Neodiprion lecontei: one gene and its partner. The protein of the gene in region 2 purifies or fractionates together with the protein of the main gene of each other region. This does not show direct contact. Links are inferred from orthologs where the notes say so. Each region holds a gene or a part of one and is shown on either strand. Other genes may lie near its edges.

The links.
Region 1: the proteins of protein nervous wreck (region 2) and neural Wiskott-Aldrich syndrome protein purify together in Drosophila melanogaster (affinity purification with western blotting, with the first as the bait; 3 studies listed by BioGRID). This does not show direct contact. The link is inferred for Neodiprion lecontei from reciprocal best matches to the Drosophila melanogaster genes nwk and WASp.

Annotation. Positions count from the first base shown.
Region 1 is NC_060260.1:27,945,476-27,951,503, reverse strand, and holds neural Wiskott-Aldrich syndrome protein, read right to left. Parts: upstream 4,017-6,028; 5' UTR 3,871-4,016; coding exon 3,775-3,870; intron 2,838-3,774; coding exon 2,557-2,837; intron 2,402-2,556; coding exon 2,105-2,401; intron 1,988-2,104; coding exon 1,675-1,987; intron 1,582-1,674; coding exon 1,267-1,581; intron 1,008-1,266; coding exon 756-1,007; 3' UTR 527-755; downstream 1-526. Other genes in the region: ralBP1-associated Eps domain-containing protein 2, read left to right, coding at 5,351-5,503.
Region 2 is NC_060261.1:5,813,525-5,818,312, forward strand, and holds the start of protein nervous wreck, read right to left. Parts: upstream 3,041-4,788; 5' UTR 2,932-3,040; coding exon 2,911-2,931; intron 1,247-2,910; coding exon 1,149-1,246; intron 425-1,148; coding exon 379-424; intron 1-378. Other genes in the region: BTB/POZ domain-containing protein 10, read right to left, coding at 3,923-4,383, 4,522-4,719. UniProt on the Drosophila melanogaster protein: Adapter protein that provides a link between vesicular membrane traffic and the actin assembly machinery. Acts together with Cdc42 to stimulate actin nucleation mediated by WASp and the ARP2/3 complex.

The DNA of each region.
Region 1 (6,028 bases), on a different chromosome or scaffold from region 2:
AATATCCAAAACAGAAGAAACTGTTCGATTAATGCGTAACAGAAATATTTTTTTATATATCGTGTGTTGAAAGAAGGTACAAGGAAGGAAGTGTTTTTATCACCACGCCATGTTGAACATCTTATCACTATAGTCAGACTTTAGAAAATATTCAAAATGTATTTAAGCATGCACAACGTTTCATATTTCAATTCAAATAGTTAACTTTAAATATAACGAACCTGTCATATTATAGCTTAAAAATACAATAAATTAATTTCTATGCATGAGACTGCAAACCATTAGTGCGCAGTAGTTTCACTTTATTCCATTTCTGAACCATACTCCAGCTGAAAAAGGGTGCTGCATGCCAGATTAAAGTATATAAATAAAATAATTGACCATTAACACTCGCATCTCGTTTTCAGTATCTCTGAAACTTAGGGACTCACTTACATGTTTACTTTATGAAACACAATAATAAATTCATTTTTATACTAAAAATACCGTAATCAATACGAAAAATATCAGTATCAAAAGGAAGCACCTCTCTAACATACTTAAATTTTTAAGCACTCAGCACCCTTTCAGAAAAAAATAGTTCTTACATTGCTCTCAATTACCTAGTATAATTGCTTGGGGAAAAAAAAAAGAAAAACTTTTGTTTTCAACTTATTTTCATCTAGTAAATAATAAGCCAGGTACTCGTAGGACCTGCACATTAAATCATCGATCTTTACAAATACCTTTTTAGTGTTACAGACAAAAGTAACTATTCAATCGTCCCAGTCATCACCACTGGTCTCACTCGTTGAATCGTCACTGTCGCTATCACTGTGTATTACACGCGATCTTTCTGCTAGGGCCCTAGTTAAAGCTCCAGCTAAACTATTCTGTATGATTGGAGACGGGGCAGATTTTGGTTGATTTGCAACCGACTTCAACTCGACTCCCTGGCGTATCTGACTCAACAGATTACCTCTAGTATCGTCAGCCAAATTTGGCTTGGGCTCGACTTTGTCCACCTTCTGCAATATAAAAGTAAATCGAGTCACGAAAGTATATGGATATGAAAACATTTTAAATGAAATTTCGAAATTGAATTCATTTAAACACGGATTATCCCAATTGCAGCTATGCTGAAAATTAATGAAAATTATAAATAAATCAAAAGTTTGCTCAGATACATCTTATGTGCATTAAATATTTTCGGATTTACGAAATAAAAATTGATCACATAACGTATATCATCAGATTTAAAAAACAAATTTGAAACGGTCATCGTACCTTGAGCGTTGTACCACTTCTGATTGCATCGAGCAAAGCATTTCTGGTATCAGGTAATCCACCATTGTTATTAGTGGCATTACTGTTTATTGTCTCATTATCCATCTCTGTTAATTGTGGTATCGGAGGTGCAGGAGGAGGAGGTATGTTTGTGGACATTGGAGGTGGAGGTGGTGGTGGAGGACATGGTGGTGATGTCACAGAAGATGCAACAGGGCGAGCCGGCAAAGGCCGATGAGCAGGAGGGGCATTAGGTGGTGGAGGTGGTGCAGCAGTTCTTGAAGGTGGCAAAGGCGGAGCACTACGTGGCTGATTCTGAAATGATCATAATAAATTAAAGCATGACTGATGTACTTAAAAGATAACTCGGATATTAGTATAGTTTTTCCTAACATTATGGCAACGCACACTACTTATTGGAGGTCCGGGACTAACTGGAACAGTTCGAGCGGGAACAGGAGGTGGAGGTCCTAATCCTGTCGGTGCTGGCGGCGGTGGTGGTTGATTGCCTTGTATACTCGAAGGTGGTATTATAGCTGCTTTAACAGCATTTATGCCCCCATGGCATTCGATGAAGTCATAGATGAACTCTCGCGTCTTTCGATCTCTCAGCTGATCATCCGAAACACCTGCTGTGTCGAAAAACTGCTTTAATTGCGGATCTACGGATTCCAATTCTAAACCTTTACTGTTCACATTCCAACCCATGTGTGCCACATGTCTGTAACAGGTAATATTACACAATTAATATATTTCTCGAGAGAAAATTTGTATTACGCAAATTTCTTTATAGTGTCAAGGTTGAGAGCGCAATACTCTCAATAAATTAAAATCATACCGAAAGTTTGAGGGGGAACCTATGTCCGCCTTTGTCAATCTTCTCTTTGGATCCTTGTCCTGTTTATGGTTCTTAGCTTTGTACATCGAACTACTGGACACGCTTCTATTGACAGTAGCGGATGATGAAGAGCCATTTGATATGTCTGTTGAACTTCCAGTGCTGAAACCTACAGCTGAGGTATTGCTGTGGCTCTTTTTTGGCAACGTCAGCGAATGATGAGAATCGGCATTAATTCGTGACTTTCTTTCTTGTCTTCTTTGCCTCTTAGCATTAAGCTTTTCAAGAATTATCGACCTTTGATGTGAGGAAAGGAAATTATTATCAAACCATCGACAATAATGAACGATTGTAACATATATAAAATTAGACTGTATGTTACTTCATAGCAAAACATGTTGTGCCATAATCTTGACTTCTTATTGCGGTTTTAGAGAAAAAGCGATTAATACCTCAATATGATTGCATCTGTTTCGCTGGCAAAATTAAAAGCAGTCATAGAATCTTCACCCTCGAATGTGTGAAAATGGGACATGGGAGCTTTGTAATCCATTGAATTATAGACTTCATGTTCCCACAGCATTGCGTTTCTTCGCAGACAATACAGCCTAAAAAAGTAACTGCGTCTTGGATTATCTTTAATGAGTGTTATTACACCAGTATCTCTTTTTATCCAATCCCTATGTGATGGAGACTCAGTTACGTATAGTTGTATCACACCAGCTGCAAGGCACTGAAATAGCAAAACATACTGTTAGCTACACAATTGTCTCACATGTTGTGACAAAAATACAACAAATGAGTCATAAGCAAAACAACATGACCAAATATTAGTTTGAATAAAAATATTAACCATTTGTTTCGAACAATTAAAAGCGTGCTTGCCTCGTCTCAACTAAAATTAGATGCAATTACTGACCGCTGATGTGAAATGTGAAGATATGGAATTTACAATTATGTTATAATTATGATCTAATTGTATAGTATATCGCTTAAATATGAAAAAAAACTTATGAAGGTTCCCAATGGCCTATATGTTGAAATAAGTGTGTTATATGAAAAATGTTACAAAATACTCTGTTATCAAATGAAATATGATAATGCTTTATAATCTTAAGCCAGAAATTGATAACATTCCTGTCATAGCAGTATATGTTTGAAATATTGTGATAAGCAGACAGAACTTCTTGCAAAATCACAGATTATGTGTAACATAATGATCAGCCATTGATCATATGACTTCAAGCATTTTAAATATACCCAACATATGCGGTAATTATAATGACAATCCAATAAATGGCAACTAAAATTTAGAATAACTAAAACATAAAATCGAAAGTCTAACTAACAGATGTTAGTTTACATCTAAATTCTATATGCACCATTTACTGCTTCAAAAATAATAAATTTGTAATGTCAACAAGGTGGAGTCTGCGAATAATCATACAACATAGAATGTTGTCATAGATCAGAGAATACAGTATATTCAATAAGTAATAGTGTTTTGAAAAATTTTCACGTATTCGACAGGAACTTCTAAATTAGGCAATCTTTGGTTCTAAACACGTAGGTAGACAACGATTGCCTGTAGCTTTAAATATAGGTCAGTATCAGTTAGCAATGAAAGGATATTGACAAAGGTAGTGATGACAAATTTGACAAGTTCACACCTGACATCGGTTCCCAATAAGCTTGAAGACTTCCTGGTTTTCTTCCTTCGAGAGAAGGATGGATCCTCTGTGCTCGTTCAAGCGTCCAGATTTCATTTTCGACAAAAAATATTATACACGTTTAGGTTATGGACGTAGCGATATCCACGGCTCCAGAAGTTCCATTCGATTCCCAGACGGCCCAGGGCACTGGCACGTAAATCACCGTAGAATTGATTGCGGATTTTGCATTTTTGCCCGCTTACAACCGCCTATCCGTGAGTAAGCCTTCACCGTATACCGAAAGCAACACCACCCACGAAGGTATCTCAACAGGAAGCGAGAGTGACGCTTGATGACATTTTCTTGCATCCGGTTCGATGAGCATTGTCTTTTTTTCCTTTCGTAGATACATAACCTATTTTTAATACACAAGATTTAAGTACACACGAACGAACGGGTGGATAAAGAGTAGTCATCCACTTATACGCGACTCTAGTGAGTCATTAACCACGATCACAGCTAATTCGCAATGAATTCTAACAGGGGTCAAAATCATGCCTGTCAGTTGAACGTATGTACAAAGTGAGACTGCACTGCCCGTCACTGTCTACGTATAACCACATCAACACTTTGATATTACATTGTTGACACTTATCCGCAATCAGAAAGTATTCAAGACATTTCTAGCAAGTGTGCAGAAATTTATTATTGAATAACTGTTGCGCAAACCACGTAATTCGCTGAAGTATACGCAGAGGATTCTGCTAGCAAATGTCAATTTCGCGGATCATTACTGCCGTAGTAGACCTGTAAAACTCCCATCCTTCCGAGGCGTGTCTCTAACTGATAGGCAGCAGGTAAACAATTTTAGCCCAACTGGGTCATCCTTACAAGCTACGTTTTCTTCCTATGAATCGGTTTTATCTCCTCGTTTGACACGCGCGCTAAATCAACCCATGAATTCGATATTCGACGTTATTCGATGGTGCAGTTTGCATGATCTGTGATCGTAGAAGATCAACTGCTTATTGTATTTCGATGAAGAGAAATGAAAAAGACAACTTCGTACGCACAGGCGCTACCATCGCAGTAGTTACGTATAATTGCAAATGAGACAGTAGCGTATTCATAGGACAAGATAATAATAGGAATAGGAATCGAGATGATTCCTTTGTTTATCTAACGGTCGATAACTATGCTCTTCAATCTTCAATGAAAGGTACTACACGTCAAACATTCATTGAAGAACAGCACTATCGTTCAGCTTCAGTAAAAAATTGAGATGACGTCATTATTGGTATTGTAGTGCCGGTAAAGAAGGAACTCAGGAAAAATTTACGCGTGCGCGAATTCAACAAAGACGGACAATCCTTGATCAAGTTAGTCAATGTTTGAGCGTACGTCAAACGGACGAATATGGCGAATGTGCCTGTATGCCCGTTTACGTGGGGTGTAGCTAGTAAATCGTAAAATGAATGACCAGTGTCATTTATCTTGCTTGGATATACCGTATTAGAATAATGTCACCTTAACCGTATCATGTTTAGGTGGTACAATATTCCGCGAATAACTAAACTAACGTTAATTTGACAAGATGGAGGATCCACAGCTGACCGAAGAGGAACACGATCTTTACGGAGAGACTTTCAACTGTTTTCGCAAAGACCCTGACATTGATGAGGTCCCAATCGCCAAAGTCACTCAACTTGTACGCACCACTCACATACCGCGCCGAATTGCCAAAAAGGTATAAAATTTAGCATACCATTTAAACATCACGTTCCTAGTTCTAAACCATTACTGTGTACCACTATCAATTCTCAATAATTCGAACTAATGTTATTCCACTCAATGAATCGTGATTAGGATGTTTCTTTTTTAATTCTTTCCCAGCTCAATCGGAGCAAGTGTTTATATGCGATCACATATCATCCAAGGGGGCGTGTACCTTTCACTGCTGTTTAACATGTAATTCAACAAAACGGAGCACACAGTTGATCTCGCAATGTTTCTGATTAAACTTTATACTTCAATTCTGTGCTACTTTCGTAGGGGTAATCGCATTCGCTATAGTCTGAATTTATTTTAAGAACTGTTGCATATAAATTTATTTCTGTCACTCATCTGAAAAACTTTACTAGGAATTGTGACACTGTGCTAGAATGTTTGGAATTGCCAAATACTGTTCACATAATTGAGTTTTGAAATATCCGAAATATAATTTTCAAACACAAAGTTGTGTTAGAATTAGATTAGAAAATAAATATTTAGG
Region 2 (4,788 bases):
ACGATTTCACAATTTGGATTTGAATGAAAACTTTTTACCTCACAATGTGAAGAGAAAAACGATCAATGGCATAGTATTGGAACGTTGATCATTTAGTAAACAGAATTTGTACAACAGGGTGTGTTGATGTGATGAAATAGTATGCAAATATAGATATAAAGTTGGAACATTTACAGCGTAATGTATGCTTCGGTATATAATATATTGACGAATGTATTTTTATACGTAGTCGGACCGAATGGGGATGCTACCCATTCATAAATTAGGAACCAAGTATATATGAAAGAAGGAACGTAAACCGGAAATTACAACAGAAACAGGCAGATCGATGATTGGGTAATTATTAATAACTATACTACAATGGTAACTGAAACTCACCTCAGAATAGGACTTTTCGATTGCAGATTTCTTAATCGTGAAATTTCTGTACAATTAAATATTAATTGAATATTTTAATTATAATGAAGATGTACAAATTGATAAAGCTATATATCGTTACAGTAATATAATATGATGTATACAAGAACGAAACAAAAATTTGCGGCAGTAATTTCAAAACGCAAGATATTCCATCCGTTATATATAATATTATTTTGTACAAAATATGAAATTCGTTCAAATTTATACAACATGATATATAATTATTTTTCTTACACTATACATATGTATATTCAGTATAATGATACATGCGCTTTGAAAATATAGACAGATTCTTGCGTGAATCTAAATATATCAAATAAAATTTTTTTTTTTTATTTGTCAGAAGCGTTTTCTCACTTTTATGACTGATGGCACGGCTTTCGGTACTCAATTCTAATCGATCAGAAATCAATTCTGATGAAACCTTGAGGATATTATACTTTATACTTATCATGCTATTGCATTACCTTGATAAGTTTCAAATCAAGCAACGCTTCAGATAGTATCAAATGTGATTGATAGGGTAATATAACAACGTTTAATATACGTATTTAGTTTATTTATAGCCATCAGCCATAACACGTGAATATTGAGCGGCAAAAAAACAAACGAAAAAAAAACTACGCTAAAATGCCGTAACAATGATCTCCTAAAATTTCTGCGAGCGAACAAAAAAAAAAAAAAAACACATATGACGCAGCGTTATATCTAATTGTAATCAAGCTCACCGTATATCCTCCAACAAATCGCATTCATGTTGATTTTTTGCCTGCAGTTTCGCTGCCTGTTCGGTATGCAAGTTTTTCAAAAACTTTGCATAATTTCCCTGTACGAAAAATATTCATACGTTTCTTTAAAACAGTAATTACCTGCATTCGGTTATAATTGGTATGGGATTGGAATGCGCGTCAATCACGACGTACTTTGCCCTTTTCGCTTTTCATAATTATACCGTACGAACCGCATTACGAGAGTATACCCACAGAGAATCTTGCCTATATCCTAGTTTCTCAACGAATATCGATCATAGATATAAGGCATATGCGGATTATTTTAAACGACGACGATGTGAAGTTACGATGATGGTGAAGTGGGACAATCACTGATTGTACACGGTAAGAGAAACGTGCCAAATACTTCTTTCCTTATCGCGACGATGTTCCGCAGATAGTCGTTTGCTAAATTTTCAGTTTTTCAATTCCTTCAATTCATACTTACGGGCTTACGCTTACATAACGATAACATGAAACAGTTACAATTTATACATACACACATATATATATACACACATATTTATACTCTTCCGAATTCACAGCGCACGCCTCACGTAATCAATGATATTATATGATTTCAAAATATATATGACTCCATTTTTTTTCCAAGATAATTCAATATTCGGCACTAAAATAGCGTATTACTGAAAATAAGATTCGCTGATTTGCACTCTGATATAGAATTATTTGAAAACTGCAGCAGTACGGTGTGCGGAAAATAATTATTTAGGTATTTAGAAAAAAGAATTGAGTAACATCGGCGTGACATATACCTATGCATAAATACCGAAGCGCAGATTGTATATATGTAGGTTTATATATTCACATAATGTACATAATCGCATTAAATTTTCCTTAGACTCTTCACCTTGAGAAAAAGCTCTGACGTGAATTAAGGAAGTGGGTAATGCAGAGGTTTTTTTTTTTTTACTAGCTCCAGGACTGCTCGTCTTACTTGTATAATTATGGACGAAGGATGAGATTAAAGTCCACCAATCTAACGAAGGATTTCGGTCATACCTGCGATTTATAAATCTCATTCGAAATGTATAAACGGCCATTTTTTCATTCAAGAATGAAGCATCACTGCATCAAACGTGCACTAGGTCATCATTTGTAGGTAGATATTTACCACATATCCACTATGTACAGCCAAGGCCGATCATGTATTTTGAAGATAATTGTGCATGCGATCCATATCAAACCTACATCACGAACGATGACGGATGTATTCACGAGTGAAGATCGTTTTGCGATAGTTGCGATAATTTGAATTTGAATAACGATTCGGTTTAATCTTCGATTCATTGCAAAGTCCCTTGCATATTATTCTAGACGAAAATTCGAGAGTTTGAACGATTATTACATTGATAACGAAACAACCCAGAAAATGAAAGGTGCGAAAGTAAAATATAGTATTCGTGTAAAATTTTGCGGAGGTAAAAGACCCGGGCATTGATTTTCCCGGTTAGTGTGTCGGTGGTATCAATTTTATATTTGGTACCCAGAATCAATAAGGCAGGTCGGAAACCCCCGCGTGTATATTGTATTCGATTATACGGTTGATATGTAAAAGTAAACAGTAAACTTGACCGCGATTCGCAGGGCGAGGGGGATGAAATGTTTAATTAATAAATCCAGTCTTCGCCGTAAATTTGTGGGTAGGTACACGCCTTTCGGGTATCGTTCGCCTTTTAATCGGCGATAATGCACTTACTTTTCTTGGGGGCGGCTGCATGCTGAACACACTTGGCTGCTGCAGCCTCGCCACTAAGTACTGTAATTTTTTGGAAATGCCTTCACTGGTTACCAACCCGTATACTACTGCTCTCTTGCCCTCGTCTCAACCTATTTATTGATCGAACCGACGCTTGCGCCCGGAGGTGTGTTTTCGTCGGTCCACGATATACGCGCGAGACCATCAAACCCGCCTACTCTTCTTCTCCACTTTGCTCTCTATCACGAGATACCTTCTCTATTTTCTTCTCTCCTCTTTCTAATTTCGCTTGGACTTCGAATAACTGAATGAATAAATGCGAAAATAAATTTAAAGCGGATTGAAAAAAAGAAATAATCATCATCAACAGCGGGTGATAATTTCAACCCTCCGCAATTGATAATGGGACAAAGAGGGAAAACACGCGTGAAAAATTTGAGATTTTGTTTTTTTCACTTCAATAATTATGTAACGTGTTCGTGTATAATATGGATAATATGTAACACTCGTTTTAAGGTGACGCTACATTTTTCTACAGTTCGATTAGAGGAGATGAATAAGGATACTAGCGCGCTTGTACGCATGATTAGACTGTTCCGTTTGCTAACGCTCATTTGTGCGTAAATTATCATCTATTATAATTTATAATGTATCAAAGGATCAATCGCTAACTGATCCCAAGGCCGATCTATTTTTGTTCAAAGAACCCCTACGTCTATTGGTACCTCGATTTTCAGATCCAGTGATTTTTCACCTACACTTTAACATCACGGGAAACGTAAGCGTTCGTAAAATTTTTTAAAGTTTAAACAATTGTGGCTAATCTCTATCGTCCCTCGATTTTTACTCGCACATTCGATTATTACTATAAATAACGCTAGGGTGAGAATTGAGGTGTGAATGATAGAGCGGGTCAGTATGTTGTTTGAAAATTTTATTAAATATATTTCAAAGTGTATAAACAGGTATAGATAATGTGTCAGATTTGTTCTTACTGGTATAATTATATCATTTAAGAGGTTTCGTCGGGTAATAATTGGTTGAGATCCGAGTCCGCTGGTAATCCAACGGCTCCTTCAGCGTCAGTATCAATGCCCATGGGATTAGCTGCTAATGGTTGAGGTATAGGATCCATGCCGATTGCCGTTATGGGATTTTCTCCAGCATCCAGTACAGGATCTGCTGTAGCCTCGGCAAGATTTGTTACAGACTTAGATTTCAGGCATTGAAAATCGACGTGACGGCTCTTGGCTTCTTCTTTCTCCCATGACATGTGAATAAAAGGACGTTGGACGTAATTATATATAACTTCCGCACGGCCGTCCGCTCTCTTCTTCACCTTCTCCTTGTACGTTGGGTATCCCTCGATCCCCAAGCGTATTTTTTTCAGTCCTCGTTCTTTCATCACTTGTTTGGCCACATCTCGATTTTCAATGTATTTAAAAAATCGGTACATGGCCGTGCTGTTCACCGCTACGAAAAAACAACGATTCGGTTCATTACAAAGTAAGGCATTTCGGGATTTCGTTATCGCGTCTGTGAGAAACAAATTCGGGAAGTGAAAGATGTGAATCGCGAATTGTGCATATTTTATATCAAATCATTTATTACTCTGTGAGTATTCCTCGCCCATTTGGGGTGGATATTCTTCATCCCAGTCTACGACGTCATCTTCGAGTAAAACTACGACGTGGCATTCTCTGTCTCCTCGTTGCGCACTGTTAACCATTAGTGGTAATATCAAGTCTTCGAGAAAAACTTCAAACTGGCAGCGAGCTCCTTCATTAGACAATTCGTGAAGCAGTCCCCCTGTAACACATTTCAATTCATATTTGGATGCAGGTAAAAAATTTTTTTCTCCAAGCTTTATAGAATTTA